Linked DNA regions of Oryctolagus cuniculus. The protein of the gene in region 1 interacts with the protein of each later gene in a pairwise test. Links are inferred from orthologs where the notes say so. Each region holds a gene or a part of one and is shown in the gene's direction. Other genes may lie near its edges.

The links.
Region 2: the proteins of AQP2 (region 1) and ERG28 interact in binary tests that used the Homo sapiens proteins (3 or more experiments, as listed by UniProt). The link is inferred for Oryctolagus cuniculus from reciprocal best matches to the Homo sapiens genes AQP2 and ERG28.

Annotation. Positions count from the first base shown.
Region 1 is NC_091442.1:53,293,452-53,302,003, forward strand, and holds the start of AQP2 (aquaporin-2), read left to right. Parts: upstream 1-3,228; 5' UTR 3,229-3,314; coding exon 3,315-3,674; intron 3,675-6,019; coding exon 6,020-6,184; intron 6,185-6,330; coding exon 6,331-6,411; intron 6,412-6,960; coding exon 6,961-7,170; 3' UTR 7,171-8,552. UniProt on the Homo sapiens protein: Forms a water-specific channel that provides the plasma membranes of renal collecting duct with high permeability to water, thereby permitting water to move in the direction of an osmotic gradient. Plays an essential role in renal water homeostasis.
Region 2 is NC_091451.1:21,645,318-21,653,914, reverse strand, and holds the start of ERG28 (ergosterol biosynthetic protein 28 homolog), read left to right. Parts: upstream 1-3,037; 5' UTR 3,038-3,651; exon of another isoform or gene 3,652-3,757; intron 3,758-6,486; exon of another isoform or gene 6,487-6,490; 5' UTR 6,491-6,515; coding exon 6,516-6,648; intron 6,649-8,597. Other genes in the region: tubulin polyglutamylase TTLL5, read right to left, coding at 1,623-1,696.

The DNA of each region.
Region 1 (8,552 bases):
CTGATCCGATGGCAGGAGCCAGGAGCCAGGTGCTTTTCCTGGTCTCCCATGGGGTGCAGGGCCCAAGCACCTGGGCCATCCTCCACTGCACTCCCTGGCCACAGCAGAGAGCTGGCCTGGAAGAGGGGCAACCGGGACAGAATCCGGCGCCCCAACCGGGACTAGAACCCGGTGTGCCGTGGCGCCGGCCCCACTTTAATTTTTTTTAAATTCATTTGTATGAGAAGCAGAGCGACACTCAGAGACAGAGAGAGACAAAGAGAAAGTTGCAATCTGCTCGTTCACTCCCCAGATATGACCAGAGCTGGGCTGGGCTGCAGCCAGGAGCCAGGAACCCCATCCATGTCTCCCATGTGGGGAGCAGGGACCGGCTGCTTGAGCAGGAAGCCAGAGTCAGCAGTCAGAGCTGGCAAACGAATCCAAGTGGGACACGAGCATCTTAACCAGTATCTTAACTGCCAGGCCAAACCTGTACCCTGTAACTGGTTTTTTAAATTTATTTTATTTATTTGAAAGACATATTGAAAATAGGAAGGGCCCAAATGCTTGAGCCATCCTCCACTGCTTTCCTGGGCATATCAGCAGGAAGCTGCATCAGAAGTGGAGCAGCTGGGACTCAAACCTGTGCTCCCATATAGGATGTTACAGTCACAGGCAGCGGTTTAATCTGCTGCACCACGATGCCACTCCCCTCCCCTGTAACCATTTTTTAAAAGATTTTATTTATTTATTTATTTGAGAGGCAGAGCTATAGACAGAGAGAGGGAGAAACAGAAAGATCTTCCCTCTGCTGGTTCACTTCCCAAGTGGCCGCACCAGCCAGAGCTGAGCCAATCCGAAGCCAGGAGCCATGAGCCTCTTCTGGATCCCTCATGTGGATGTGGGTGCAGGGGCCCAAACACCTGGGCCATCTTCTACTGCTTTCCCAGGCCATAGCAGAGAGCTGGACTGGAAGAGGAGCATCTGGGACATGAACAGGCACCCATATGGGATGCCAGCACCGCAGGCAGAGGCTTAGCCTACTAAGCCACAGCACCCTATTCCCCACTCCCATAACCATTTTTGAATGTATGGTTCAATGGAACTCAGTGCATCCACATGACTCTGCCTCCAACTTCAAGAAAGCATTTTTAAAATGATTTATTTACTTGAAAGGCAGAGTTACAGAGAGGGAGACACAGAGAGGGAGAGAGGGAGAGAGGGAGACACAGAGAGGGAGAGAGGGAGAGAGGTCTTCCATCTGCTGGTTCACTCCCGAAATAGCTACAATGGCTGGAGCTGCACCGATCCGGAGCCAGGAGCCAGGAGCTTCCTCCAGGTCTCCCACATGGGTTCAGGGGCCCAAGGACTTGGGCCATCTTCCACTGCTTTCCCAGGCCATAGCAGAGAGCTGGATTAGAAGTGGAGCAGCCAGGACTTGAACCAGTGCCCATATGGGATGCCAGGACTGCAGGCGGCGGCTTTACCCGCTACACCACAGCGCCAGACCCTCGGATGCCTTTCACATGACAGGATTTTGCCCCCCAGCTGCACACACACACACTTGTTCTGAGTCTCTCTCCCCGAGCCTCTGGGACCAGGGCCAGGTCCCCATGTGGCACTGCTGTTTCAGGTACTGGAAACACAGCCGAGAACACGCCCACAAGAGCTCCTGCCCTTTCAGGACTCTCCTTCGGTTGGGCCTCGTTTTCTTCTTCCTCACCCTCCTCCTCCTCTTCCTCCTGGAAAGAAGTTACAAGTTCACGTGTGCATGCTCGCATCTTGCATTCTCAGAAACAACTCTGTGGGAAAGGCATCTTTAGTCCCATTGTCCAGATAGGAAGACTGAGGCTGAGTGTGATTCAGCAGTCCAAGGGTGTGGTGGAAACTCTCGAGACCCAGTTCCAGTTCCAGTTCAGCCTCTAACTTGCTGGACCACCGTCCCCAAGTCACTCACACTCCTCAGGCCTCAGGCTGGGACACAAGACAAGGTATTCTACTTCGTAAAGAGGTGCATAGGCCAGGAGCTACAGCACTATCCAGAGCCTGTCCGGATCCCACCCCAAGCCCACTGCTGCCTCTGGATCCCCAGGAGAGGGAACGAGCCTGGAAGGATTAGGGAAGAGGGGCCTCCAAGGCCCTGGTGGTGTGCAGGGCCCCCAGTACGAGGCGGTATCCCTGGGAGGGGTGGGCACCCATGCCAGAGAGCTGCCTATTGGGCGGCCTGGCCTCCCTGGATCGCCACAGCTCACTACCCCAGAGAAATGTCTTCCTCCGGCGACATGGGTGGCTCTGGGGGCTGGGGGATGCCCCCAGTGCTCCTGGGACACCCTCCCCCCGCCCCAGATATGTGAGTCTGGGGAACCCAACACGTAAGAACGTAAGCAGCACTCTGAGCGACTGCTACAAGGGTTTGGCCTCCACCCGTGGCCAGGCGCAGCCACTCTGTGCTCGTGTCATAGGGGATTTCATGTCGCCGAGTCCCAAGGCCCCAAGGCAGGCGTCACCTCCATTTTACAAAGTCCAGAGACGGAGCAAGGTGGTGCTGGGACAGAAGCTCTGAGCTGACCCCCCCCCACTCCTCCGCTGACTCTTTCAGCCAGGGCCAGGGTCCCCAAGGCCCCCCGAAGCCACCGCTGGCTCCAGGCTGCCGGAGCTGCTCCTTGAATGGGCTTCCAGGAGGAGGGAGAGCTTAATGGCTTACGGGCGATTAACTACAAGCAAGCAGGCACAGAACAGACACCAAGCATTTTTGCCTTGGAAATTTGGCCCAAGCCGACCAGTTGTTTTCCATCTCCTTCCAGAAGGGTGGGGGGAGGGTGGGCATCCACCCCCAAGACGGGCGACTCTGGCATTTCTCGCGCATAATTTGGGGTGGGTGTGTTGGGGGGTGCCCTGCACCTTAGCCACCACTTTGAGTTAGAAAGAGGGGTCCTCCCCCCAGCCACCTCCCCTTCGGGGGTTCCCATCCGCAGCTTGGCGTGGGGGAGGGGAGGCCCCACGGCGACAGGCCTGGGGTAACTGAGGGAACAAACACGGAAAATCAGGGGACGTCAAGCCTTATCTGGAGTTCATTAATGGGGAACTTTAGTCAGCTGTGAAGGCCAAGATGGGGTGATAGGCGTGCAGTGGGCAGGGGTGGGAGTGGGGCAGGGGTGGCAGGGACAGTGGAGGCGCTGGCCTAAACTCCGCCTCCATCGCACGTGCCCAGGCCTGGGCCGAGGGACTCTATATAGGCCCAGCCTCCCCCGAGGCCCCGAACGAGCGAGAGGGAGCGAGCGAGAGGGAGCGAGCGAGAGGGAGCAGAGGCGGGAGACCCGTGGAGGGCCCGCAGCATGTGGGAGCTTCGGTCCATCGCCTTCTCCAGGGCGGTGTTTGCCGAGTTCCTGGCCACGCTCCTCTTTGTCTTCTTCGGCCTGGGCTCAGCCCTCAACTGGCCATCGGCGCTGCCTTCCACATTGCAGATCGCCATGGCTTTTGGCCTGGGCATCGGCACCCTGGTGCAGGCTCTGGGCCACGTCAGCGGGGCCCACATCAACCCTGCCGTGACCGTGGCCTGCCTGGTGGGCTGCCACGTCTCCTTCCTCCGAGCTGCCTTCTACGTGGCTGCCCAGCTGCTGGGGGCCGTGGCCGGGGCCGCTCTGCTCCACGAGATCACGCCGGCCGAGGTCCGTGGCGACCTGGCTGTCAATGCCGTGAGTACAGCTGGACCCTCGCCCTCGTCCACGGCGGGTGGACCTTGGGCCACCCCTGGCGAATGATGAGATGCAGGTGGCTCTGGGTGGAGAGAGAGAGAGAGAGACAGAGACAGAGACAGAGACCAAGATGAGGCTCTAGACAGGAGCCCAGCAGAAGGGGCAATTGTGTGAGAGCAGAAACGGCGGAGAAAACAGGGCTGCTGGTACCTTCTGTCCGGGGGCCCGCGGAGGAAGAGCAGCGTCGAGGGTTCTGCTGGACTCCATGCCCACGTGGGCTGGGGCTCAGCAGGGGCAGGGTCCCCAGAGCACAGCAGCCGTGCAGTCTTCCCCAGAGGGGAGAGATGGAACGCTCTTTCAGCTTCTAGCAGGTGCAGGAACGCTTCAGGGGTAGGGTCTCTCCCTCTGGATGCTGGAGAAGTTTGTGGGAGGCAGCTGCTGAGGCTGTGGGCAGCCTGGGCTCTTAGGAAGCTGAGGGTAGCGCGGTTCACTCCCCCGCCCCCAATCTGCGAGGTATGGGTGGGGAGGGCTGAATGCGCTCCCCTCCATGCAATATGCCCTCTGCACCCCTGCCCCAAGCCAGAACAGCAATCACCTCTTCTGTGCCTCAGTTCCCCGCATTTCTTCGCTGGCTGCATCCCTGGGCTTCTAGCAAACAGCCCAGCCTCCATGGCCACGCCCTGCCCTGCACAAGTGGTCTTTCTGCACCCCGGGGGTTTCTCTCCCCTTCAGAGTGGGAAGTATGGTGAGGCTGGGGATCCAGGGCTTAGAAAACACCAGAGCAGCCAAGGCAGCTGGCCGACCGAGCAGGTGCCGATTTCCACTGAGTGCGAAGTTAGCGCCATTAGCAGCAAGCGGAGCCCCAGTGGGACAGAAAGAGGGGCTTCCTGAGAGCAACACCCCAGCAAGCCCCTCTCTGCAGGGGCGCCCTGGAGCCCCCAGCCCTGCTCCTCTCTCTGCAGCTGAGTGGGGGCCTCAGCAGGGAAGGTCTGGGAGGCTCTCCTGCCAGCTATTCCTCAGTGGGCCCACCCCCAGGAGAACCCGCTGGGGGGCAGCGGTGGGGCTGACTCGCCCTCAGCCTGTCCCTGTTGTCCTCTGGGAGAGGCAGCCTGGCCACCAGGAAGTTGCTATTGATGTGCATCTGCCCTGTGCCGTCTCAGCCTCGTCCAACACCGTAAGGTAAATTCTGTGGTCTCCCCACGTGACAGAGGCTCAGCATTCAAACGGCCCAAATGACAGGACCGCTGTGGCAGGTGGCAGCAACCGGCGATGGACCCAGAGTTGTCTGACCCCATAGCCATGTCCAGGCTGTCTCCCGCAGAGCCGCCACCTGCCAGCAGCAGGACAGCTAGGGCGCTGCCCTTGTCACTGCCAGTCCTCAGAGGCCTCCCAAATCTGCTTCATTGTCCCCAACATAACTAGATGGACCAGAGGCCTCCAAAGCTCTTCTCTCTGTCCCCTAGAGGCTGTGACGGTGGATATCAGCAGGAAGCTTGAGGCTATAGAACCAGCCTGCCCATGAGGACCTGGGTGTTGGGGGGGAGGGGCTCGGGCCAGGGGAAGGAACGTGGGAGCTGAGAGCCATGCAGCTCCCCTCACACAGGGCCTAGCCCCTGAGGGCAAGGCGCAGAGGCCAGGAGGAGAACCCGGGAGAAATCCTGTGAAGGGTGTGGCTGGGTTGTGAAACTGCCTCCCTTCGCTCAGCCGCAAGTTCTCACCTTACCCACAGCGGGGTCTGCTGGGACTGCGGGCCCCCCTACGTGGTGCACCAACACCGCGATAGACAGCTCCAGTGGCCTCACCCTGACCTGCACAGGACCAAGCCCACAGGGTGCAGCAGGTGAAGATTAGGGGACAGTGCCATGGTGAGGAGTGTTCCCAAGTTCCTGGACCGCCTTCCTGGGAGCCCTTTGGCCACAGGAAAAAAAAAAAGACTCCAGGCCTCTGGCTGCCCCAGTGTCTTCCAACTAGGGAGCAAGGAGGGCCCTCCTGTCCCTGTCCAAAGCCCCCTGCAGCCATGGAAACCTCTTCCCTTCTTGTTCTTCAGAAAGCAAAACCACATCTGAGCACGCTTCTGCGCTCATGCTGCAGACGCAGGCACAGGGTCCGCGCCCAGACCTAAGGGGCCGGGCAGTCAGTTTTCCCACCTCTGGCCTGGGGACCACAGGCAGCCCTGGCGTCTCACCAAAGGCAGGGGCCCAGGAAGAAGGCATCGGGAGGCCAGCCCAGGTGTTCTGGCTCCCAGCCCAGAGGCCTCCCTGGAGCCTCTGCTGCAGGTGGGCAGCAAGGTGGGGGCGAGAGGTGGAGGGGGAGCGTGCTCAGCCTGCCCCCCCCTCTGTCCCCAGCTCAGCAACAATGCCACAGCTGGGCAGGCTGTGACCGTGGAGCTCTTCCTGACGCTGCAGCTGGTGCTCTGCATCTTTGCCTCCACCGACGATCGCCGCAGCGACAACGTGGGCACCCCTGCCCTTTCCATTGGCCTCTCGGTGACCCTGGGCCACCTCCTCGGGGTAGGTCACAGCCCTACACAGAACCCCAGAGGGACAGATGGCCTGGAGGGCTTGACTCCCATATACCCTAAAGACTTTGGAAAGGGAGGCACCCCCCTGGGCCCATCTCACCTCACTCTCCTTGACACCCCCTCTTCCCATGACAGATCTACTACACCGGCTGCTCCATGAACCCTGCCCGCTCCCTGGCCCCCGCTGTCATCACCGGCAAGTTTGATGACCACTGGGTAATGCCAGAAACCACCTCCCTTGCCCCTTCCCCAGAAACCCATTTCAGAGGGGAATAAGGGCTGGAAGGGGTGGGGGGAGGGGTTCAGCTGCTGCAGTGCCCCAACCCTCCTCCTCCTCCTCCTCCTGGGGTCGGCCTTTCAGACGCCGTTTCCACAGCGTGACAAGTGGGCACCTCACCAGCTCTTGGGGAAATTGAGTTAGGCTGCCTGGGTAACAGGGTGCCCGGCGCCAGGAGCTCAGCAGACAGCGGCTCTTAGACTGATGAGCACGCACGCGGTTCTGAGCTTGTGCGGCGCCTTCTTCTAAGCACTTTGCTGCTGTTGAGCCATTTCACGACCATCCTAGGAGGCAGGCACTGTTTCAGTGAAAGCAAACAGGCTCAGAGAGGCCAAGTAAAGGGCTGGCATCACAGTTCGACGCAGGCAGCGCATCCAGGACCCCGCACCCTCACCACCCGGTGCGTGGCGGCGGCGGCAGGCGGGGCGGCGGGAGGGGGTCCCCTTTGCTCCCCGCGCGCTGCCAGTCCCCTCTCTGCTCGCCCGCAGGTCTTCTGGGTCGGACCCCTGGTTGGCGCCATCCTGGGCTCGCTGATCTACAACTACGTACTCTTCCCCTCAGCCAAGAGCCTGTCGGAGCGTCTGGCGGTGCTCAAGGGGCTGGAGCCGGACGCCGACTGGGAGGAGCGCGAGGTGCGGCGGCGGCAGTCGGTGGAGCTGCACTCGCCGCAGAGCCCGCCGCGGGGCAGCAAGGCCTGAGCGCGCCCCTCCGCCAGCCCAGCCCTCCCAGTCCGAAGTTGACCCCAGCGCAGAGCAGTCGCTTGCAACATGCGCCACAGCCCTGGCCTCGGGGGTCTCAGGGTCTCAAGGGTAGCGGGGAGCCCCCCCCCCACACTCCCGCAGAGCCCCTGCCCTGAGGCTGGGGCGGCCCATTGGCTACCCTTGACTGCTGGCGGAGGACAGGGGGCTGAGCTAGGGAGAGACAGAGGGAAGGTAGGCAGGCCTGCACCCAGGCGCTGGCGAGGAATACACAGAACCCCCCCGTGGGAGGGAGGGGCGCTGGATTTTGCTGGTGTGCACATGTGTGTGTGTGCACGTGTCTGCGTGTTCTCCCCCACGCCTCCGACCTCAAGCAGGTGTCACTAGCAGACTTCTCACTCACCCTTCTGTTTCCCTGCCCCTCAACATACACCTGCAATAAATCCACTCCCTCTGCGGGAGTTGGGGGGGTGCTCTGCGCCATGCAGCCCTCAGACCTGGAGAGGGGTCTGCTTCCAACTCCTACCCTGCCCGCATCAAAAAGTTCCCCAAGCTGCAGCCCTGGGCCAACACCCCTCCACCACACCACCACCAAGACTAGCAAGGACACTGGATGGAGGCAGAGAGGTGTCAAGCAGAAAACAGGCCTCGGAGCGGCCATGGATTTCCCTGCTACCCAGAGGGAGGTCTTTCCAGAAAGAGCAGCAGGCCTGCGCATGCCCGGGACCCCCGCCTCAGCCCAGCCCCAGACTCAGAGATTAGCTTCCCGTTTTGGCAGAGAAAAAGGAACGCCCTTCATGGGCCCCTGGCCTTTTGTCTTCGGAGAGGGGAGATTTGCAACTAGACACTTCTTGAAAGCAGACACGCGGTTTCGCAAGTGAACCCTTTCGTCCAGCACACACCTATGGCTGGCTGGGCAAGGCACTCAGGCATGCAGCCATGGGCACCAGGCAACACCTGCCCATCTCCGGGTCACTCTCGCCCCCTCCCCCCACAGCCGGCAGGTCCTCCTCCGCCAGACCCGCTCTGGCTCCCAGCACTGAACAGCTACTGTGGACAGGATCAGAGCCTTGTCACACAGTGGCAGGGCTGCGTCTAGAACCCAGGCTTGCGAGTTTCTGGGCAGCGCAGTGGTTCTCAAATGCGATTATCTGGGATTAGGTGAGATGATGCACGTAAAGAGGCTGTGTGAACTCTAATTCCTAATGCCATTATCACGCATTATTAGGCTCATTTTCATTATTTCTGCTTCCTGGGGCGCGGGGGAGGATGTAGAAGGAGCCTGACCCTCCACCTCCTTAATCTTTCTTTGGAGGTCAAAGCAAAGGTGAACCTTGGATGTCCCAAGGTCCAGGCAGACACCTCTGGGCCTCTCCTTGGCC
Region 2 (8,597 bases), on another chromosome or scaffold:
TACTTGCATGACTTCGTAATTTACAGGGTACTTTCACACATTATTCTTTGGATCTCAATCACACCACTACACAACAGCCTGCCAGACATCAGCCCTGTCTGTCAGGTCACACAGCACACAAAATCCAAAAGAACTCCCGGAGAACTAAAGATGAGTCTGAACTTTAAACCGGACTCTCTTCTGTGTCAAGCAGTAATATTAAAGGAGGTGAAATAGGAAAATGCTCCAAAATCTGGGAACGCTAAGTCTGAGCCTCAATCCACTGCTTACTCTCTATGGGTCTCTAAGACAGGATCCTGATATTTCTGAGGTGAGCTTAATAAAGTGGAAACGATAACTTCTTCAGATTAAATGAGAGGAGGAGGAAGCAGTCTGGTCTTCAGATTCAGTGAGGCCCAGGTGAGTTAAAGGCCTTGCCATGGTCTTCAGCAGTGGCGCTGATCACTGTCTCTCATTTCTCGTACGAGGGTCCAGCAATCAAACAACTCGACTCCTTCCTCAAAGTACTCAGGGAAGCAACGTGGCTTGAGGCACACAGCATAGGCTATAGAATTCTTTTTTTTTTTTTTGGCGGGGGGGGGGGGGGGACAGGCAGAATTAGACAGTGAGAGAGAGAGAGACAGAGAGAAAGGTCTTCCTTCCATTGGTTCACCCCCAAATGGCTGCTATGGCTGACAATCCAAAGCCAGGAGCCAGGTGCTTCCTCCTGGTCTCCCATGAGGGTGCAGGGACCAAGCACTTGGGCCATCCTCCACTGCCTTCCTGGGCCACAGCAGAGAGCTGGACTGGAAGAGGAACAACTGCGACAGAATCCAGCGCCCCAACTAAGACTAGAACCTGGTGTGCCGGTGCCGCAGGCAGAGGATTAACCAAGTGAGCCGCGGTGCTGGCCTAGGCTATAGGATTCTAATGCCCTGCCCAGAGACGCCCTGACAACTTACCTGCCCTCTCCACATGACCACCACTCTATCGTTATAAAGGCATTTGAGAAAATTAGCACAACATAACCAATGCCACAGTTCGGTGACCTACTTTTCTTCAATATCTAAAAAGTGTGACATCTTCAATGTTAAGAGCTCTGATCAAGAGTCCACCAAGAGCTGCCATCTGCATTTCACAACATCTATCTAGAGCTGATGTTCACTTATGAGAAATACAGCCTTGGTGCCCATATGGGAGCAGGTTCATGTGCTGGTTGCTCCTCTTCTGATCCAGCTCTCTGCTCACGGCCTGAGAAAGCAGTAGAAGGCAGCTCAAGTGCTTGGGCCCTTGCACCCACATGGGAGACCTGGAAGAAGCTCCTGGCTCCAGGCTTCAGATCAGCCTACTCTGGCCATTGCAGCCATTTAGGAGTGAACCATCGGATGGAAGACCTCTCTCTCTATCTCTCCCTCTCTCTGTAACTCTGCCTTTCAAATAACCAAATCTTAAAAAAAGAAAGAAACACAGCCTTATTATCCCATTTCTAACAGCCACTGGGAATGGACTAAAAAGGTCTGGGATAGAAGCTCAAACCAGAGTCAGACAATACCAAAGGATACCGGATAAAAGAGGATCTGAGTAAAAGAAAACTAACTCCCATTCTAAAGGCCAGAGGTCAGAGGCAGGCCCGCGGTACTTACTCCTGGCTGATCACCTCCTCATCCTCCGAGGACGATGCTGTTTCCTCCAGGTCCCGGGCCATCACGACGGGCATCTCCTTTGGGGTTTGTCATGCAGTCAGCAGACAGGGGCCTCAGAGACCTTTCCTTGCAGACTCACTGGATCAGACGATTTGGGTGGCACAGATTCCTGCAGAGAAGTGGATCGCTCTGACACACAGTGCAGCTGTGCAGTTATCAGTTACCGCTGATGATCTTCCAAACAACGAAAAGAAACCCATTCCTAAGCAGTACCCGAGCTCTAGCTTACCTTCATGGTGCCTCACACACGGCTCAAAAATCGGAAATGTTTTTCAGATATACTCTCTGGACTCTTATGTATTTGAAAAGCTCTTATTAAGTTTGAGTTTCTCATTTGTCTTTCATGTACTAAATCTAACCTTAGGGAGGTGGCTGATTCCTTGCTATGACCTCAATTAAACTTGGCCTGGGTTAAAAATAAGAACTCAAGGTTTAAGATCTTTGCAAATATTTATTCAGACTCAATGACAAGCACACACGGGAGATGGCATCATGTTTCAGTTAAGACAAATTCCACATCAGAGCCAAAAGATTAAAATGTTCTCCTGAATCAATAACGGGGGGGGGGGGGGGGGCACTGCCCTTCCAAACACTCTTAAAAATCATTCTTAAAAATCATTCTCTCTTACTGAAAATCACAAACTTGGATCTGAATCTCAAAGGCACATTACAATTACAGAATTTCCAACGCGGCAGTTCTAACTTGAAAATATATTTTTCCTTAGGGGGAAATACATTATGTCCGATATACCTGACAGGGAAGGGAATGCAAACTGTAAAATGAAAATGTGCGGATGACCGCAATCCCACTGCTCAGAGGTAGGCAACTGATGTCAATCTTTCCAAACTCTATTTTTCTGTGCATTCATGTATATAAGATTGCAAATAAAACCAACACACACACACACACACACACACACGAGCCCGCTAATGACCCCTGCAGATCTTCGGGGTAACGGGCAATCCCTAACAGCCTCGGTGGCTCCTCTGCGGGAGATGCCCAGTGGAATCTCTCCATCTTTCCCAAATGCTGGGAAGTCCCGTAAGTTACACCGAGCGAACCTCCAAGCGAGGAGGGGATGCCCACCTTCCCCGAGCTGCCTGCAGACTGGGAGCCCTCGCTCCCCGGGGATCCGGCCCTCGGCCCCACCCCCAGCGCACCCCGATCCCGAGCGGGTCGGCGGTGCGCTCCCCGGGAAGGACGGGGCGACCCCGCCGCCACCCTCCAGCCCAGCGCGCCCGGAAGCCAACAGCGGCTCCCGGGCTCTGAGGGGGAAGTGCAGCCGACCGCGGCGGCCAGGGCCGGGAGCGCACCTCCCTCCGGCAGGGAAGCGCGCCGGCGCCGGCGTTTACCTGTCTCATCTTCCCATGGCTCCGGCGCGCAAGTGGGGACCACGCTCTGCGCCTACCTCCCTCCTCCTTTCCCAGCCGGGCTCTCCGCGGCTGCCGACGGCTGCTTCCCCCGTTACTACAACAACCAACAAGCAACCGCCCGCTCGGAGCCACTGCGCAGGCGCCCGCCACCCGGCGCGGACCACGCTGGGCTGCGGCGCGGACGGATGCCGTCACCGCCCCGCGACGCGGGAGCAGAGCCGCGTGCTCGGCACAGAGCACTCTTGACTTTCTCTTTCCCGCTCAGTTCCCCCCACTCCTCCGCCCCTTAAACGATGACTCCAAACCTGGAGTTCCGCCACTATCAACAGGAGGGTTTGCTGCGTGAGCGGTGCCCCAGGGGGAGAGGCTTAGGCAGCGGCAACCGCTGATTGGCAGTAGAGGGGTTCACTCCCTATCTCCTGCTCGAGCAAAGCCGGCTCCGCCAATCAGAGCGAGGACTGACAGGAACGATCCAATCGTAGAGCCAGGCTGGGGACGGGGGCGGGGACGAGTGGCTCAGGTGGAATCCGGGCTGGAGCTGTCTTGGGGAAGCTGGTTTGCTGCTGCTGCGGCTGTGCCCGGGTCCGGCTGCCAGGTAAGGCGACGGTGGGAGAGAAGAGGGTGCAGGTGACCGTGTGACATCTGATTGGGAGGATCCGAAGAATCCGGAAAAACGGAGGTGGGACAGAAGGAAGACGCTAGTAGGCTTTCTTTTGTGGGGGAGAGGGTTCGGGAGCCGACGACGAGGGGGAACCCGGAAGATGGGGAGGGCGTGGTGGGTTCGGGGAACGAAGGGTGGGTGAGGGCATGAGCAGCCACTGAGAGCTGGTACTGTGCGAGGAGCCTTCACCGTCACCCTGAAGGTAGATGTTTGTAACCCCATTCAGCAGAGGAGGAAACTGAGTCACACAGCACCGAATGGTCGGGGCAGGATAGGAACGCCCCTGGCTGGGCTCCTGCTATCCTGGACGAGGTCGGGGGAAATTTTGGAATAGCAGCTGTATGAGGGAAATTCAAAAGGTTCATGAAAAATGAAATTAGAAGATTAATTTGGAGCAAAAATTTTTGATACTATGTTGATTTTTTAGGTTTATTTTCATTTTCTTTCAAAGGCAGACAGACAGATCTTTCATCCACTGGGTCTCTACCCCGAATGCACACAGTAGCCCAGAGGCTGGACCAAGCTGAAGCCAGGAGCCAGATCTTAATCAGAGTCTCCCACGTGGGTGGCAGGGACCCAAGTTCTAGGGCCAACTGCTGCCTCCCAGGGTGAGCGTTAGCAGGAAGCTGAGCTGGGAAGCAGAGCCTGGGCTCCAACCCAAGCCCTCCGGTGTAGGATGCAGGCACCTTACCCACTGCACCAAATGCCTGCCCTGATGCAAATATTTTTAAGCGAATCCTTTAACTCTGGTCCCACCCTCGTTTGTAAAATGGAAATACTAAATGGTATAACACATGTTGGGTGCATGGCACAAAGCCCAGTAAGGCAAGGTTCCTGCAGCCCTCACCAAGAGTGCTGCTTCCTTCTCTTAAAGTCACAGCAGGTTATTTATTTTTATCTTTTGGATTGTTCTTTTAGTTTATGGAATATGTGTGCCTAAGGAACAGGGTAGAAAAAAAGTAAGGGTGTAAATAGTGCTCTCACACCGTACGTTCCACTGCAAATCTGTACTCCATAGGTTTAGGAGGATCTGTCATCAAGAACCAGGCAGGCACCTGTGAGCCCCTGGCTTTGGAGAGCATTGACATGAAAAAGTAAAGAGAGGGGCCGGCGCTATGGCGCAGTGGGTTAACACCCTGGCCTGACACGCCCGCATCCCATAAAGGCTCCGGTTCTAGTCCCAGCTGCTCCTCTTCCAACCAGCTCTCTGCTATGGCCTGGGAAAGCAGTGGAAGGTGGCCAAGTCCTTGGGCCCCTGCACCCGCATGGGAGACCCAGAGGAAGCTCCTGGCCCCACCTTCAGATCAGCGCAGCTCCGGCTGTTGTGGCCATCTGGGGAGTCAACCATTGGATGGAAGACCTCTCTTTTGCTGCCTCTCCTCTCTCCGTGTAACTCTTTCAAATAAATAAATAAATCTTAAAAAAAAAAAAAAAAAAGTAAAGAGAGAGGAAGACTGATTGTAACCAAGAGAAAGGAATTCTGATATACGGTAGTATTTGAAGAAATTGCTTAAAGATAAGTATTGTTCCACTTATTGCAGATTATACAAATGTACTCCAAAAAGTTCATGGAAAATGGAATTAAAAGATAAATTTTGGGTTATTTTGGTGCAAGACATTTTTGAAATCCATGCTTAGCTTTATCATAATATACATTTTCATAACTTTTTGAAGAGCCCCATACTGTTCACTGACTGTTATCAGTGTAACCAAGCATTGCAGCCAATTTCTGTAAGCCTTACACCAAAATCCATTGTATTACTTTTTTTTTTTTTTTAATTTGAAAGGCAGAGTTACAGAGAGGCAGAGACAGAGAGAGAGAGGTATTGTATCCACTGGTTCACTCCCCAGATGGCTGCAACAAGCCAGAGCTATGCTGATCCAAAGCCAGGAGCCAGGAGCTTCTTCCAGGTCTCCCACGTGGGTGCAGGGGTCAAGGACATGGACATCTTCTACTGCTTTCCCAGGCCATAGCAGTGAGCTGGAGCAGAAGTGGATCAACCGGGCCTTGAACCAGCGTCCATATGGGATGCCGGCACTGCAGGCAGAGGGCTCACCTGCTACGCTACAGCACCGGCCCCTGTGTTACTTTATAGTAATACATATACAGGTCTTTACTTCTGTTGCCTTTCTTCACATTTTTCTCTCTGGGTTTGTCCCTTCCACCCACGGTCGTTGTCACCCTCAGTAAAGGTCAGCACACTGGCTTCAGGTGAATATTAAAGGCAATATGCCAACCTGGGAAGTAAGAATAATGTGTAAAAAAAAAACCGAGCGGGGTGGACGTCGGGGCGCAGATTAAGCTGTCATCTGGGACACCCCTGTCACATATCTGTGTGCCTAGGATTGAGTCCTACTTCCACTTCTGGTCTGACTTCCTGCAAATGTGAGCCCTGGGAGGCAACAGCCTCCCAGGCAAGTACTTGCTTGGGCTCGTGCCGCCCACAAGGGAGACCTGGATGGAGTTCCTGGTACCTGCCTTCTACCTGGCCCAGCTCCAGCCTGTTTGGGCTTATGGGGAGTGAACTAAGGGATGAAAGATAGCTTGCTCTTGCTCTATCACTCTGCCTTTCAAATAAGTAAAAATAAATTAATTAGACTTCAACCAAAAAAAGAAACAAAACTGGTGCATGAGCCTGGAGGATCTAGAGAGGAGCTCACGCAGTGATTGCCCAAGTTTAGTGCAGCTCTCGTGAACGGGCCGCAGGTAGCCACAGAGCAGAGATGGACTGACCTTGGCTTCTCGTGTCCCATGTCCTTGTTCCCAAGGCAGACGCCCTCTCGGGTCCGAGGGCAACATGAGCCGATTCCTGAACGTGCTGCGGAGCTGGCTGGTCATGGTGTCCATCATAGCCATGGGGAACACGCTGCAGAGCTTCCGGGACCACACGTTCCTCTATGAAAAGCTCTACACCGGCAAGCCGAACCTCGGTAAGAACCAGAGAGCCATGTCCTTCCTAGGAGCGGCCCTCGTGTGGTTCCCCATGCAGGCTTTAACCAGCACAGCCCCAAGGCACTCTGTACACCGGAACAGCCCCCAGGCACTCTGCACCTCAGTACAGCCACATGCACTCTGTACACCGGCACAGTCCCCATGTACACTGTATAGCAGCACAGCCCCCGTGCACTCTGTACCCCGGCACAGCCCCCATGCACTCTTACGCCAGCACAGCCCCCATGCACTCTGTACACCGGCACAGCCCCCGTGCACACTGTACCCCGGCACAGCCCCCGTGCACTCTGTACGCCGGCACAGCCCCCGTGCACTCTGTACGCCGGCACAGCCCCCGTGCACACTGTATAGCAGCACAGCCCCCATGAACTCTGTACGCCGGCACAGCCCCCATGCACTCTTACGCCAGCACAACCCCTGTGCACTCTGTACCCCGGCACAGCCCCCGTGCACTCTGTACGCCGGCACAGCCACATGCACTCTTACACCAGCACAGCCCCCATGCACACTGTACCCCGGCACAGCCCCCATGCACACTGTACCCCGGCACAGCCCCCGTGTACTCTGTACGCCGGCACAGCCCCCATGCACTCTTACGCCAGCACAGCCCCCATGCACTCTGTACGCCAGCACAGCCCCCGTGCACACTGTACCCCGGCACAGCCCCCGTGCACTCTGTATGCCAGCATAGCCCCCAGCAGGCTATACACTGTCACAGCCCCCATGTACTCTGTACACCGGCACAGCCCCATGTACTCTGTACACCAGCACAGTCCCCATGCACTCTGTACACCGGCACAGCCCCCGTGCACTCTGTACACCGGCTCAGCCCCCATGCACACTGTACACCGGCTCAGCCACATGCACTCTGTACACCGGCACAGCCACATGCCCTCTGTACACCGGCACAGCCCCCATGCACTCTGTACATTAGCACAGCCCCCGTGCACTCTGTACACCGGCTCAGCCCCCATGCACACTGTACACCGGCTCAGCCACATGCACTCTGTACACCGGCACAGCCACATGCCCTCTGTACACCGGCACAGCCCCCATGCACTCTGTACATTAGCACAGCCCCCGTGCACTCTCTACACAAGCACAGCCCCCATGCACTGTGTACCCCAGCACAGCCCCATGCAGGCTGTACTTCACACAACCTAGAGCACTCAAAGCACAGATACCTGTTTCATTCTCCATAATGTTAGGTACTTGACACAGTTCGTGGAAAGCCATGTTACAGAAACACTATGCATGGATTTCACCTAATTTCACCTTTTTTGCACCTAAATATATGTGTCTTTTAAGTCTAATTTTCCGTGTGTGTTTTAAAGAACCCTCACATTTACTGAACCTGGGGGAAGCTCAGGAACCCAGGCTCTGAGAATGTTCAGGGGATTGTTTGCTGCCTGATCTAGGCTTTGGCAGCCGCTGGAATGATCAGCTTCGTCAAGGACACATGACCCCTTTCCACTAGCTTCTCTGAATACCTGTTGACTCATTTCACAGTGCCCTGCGCAGGCAGTGCACACAGAAAGCATCATACAGGTAGGTGAGAGAATGGAGTTATTGGTGACTGGCCACATGTCCCACTGAAAAGCTTTTCTTCAGCACTCAGGTCACGGCACATGGGTACCTCCCAGGTGACCTGGAGAGACGTCACGGCACGTGGGTACCTCCCAGGTGACCCGGAGAGAGACGTCACAGCACATGGGTACCTCCCAGGTGACCCGGAGAGAGACGTCACGGCACGTGGGTACCTCCCAGGTGACCCGGAGAGAGACGTCACGGCACGTGGGTACCTCCCAGGTGACCCGGAGAGAGACGTCACGGCACGTGGGTACCTCCCAGGTGACCCGGAGAGAGACGTCATGACACGTGCATGGGTACCTCCCAGGTGACCCGGAGAGAGACGTCACGGCACGTG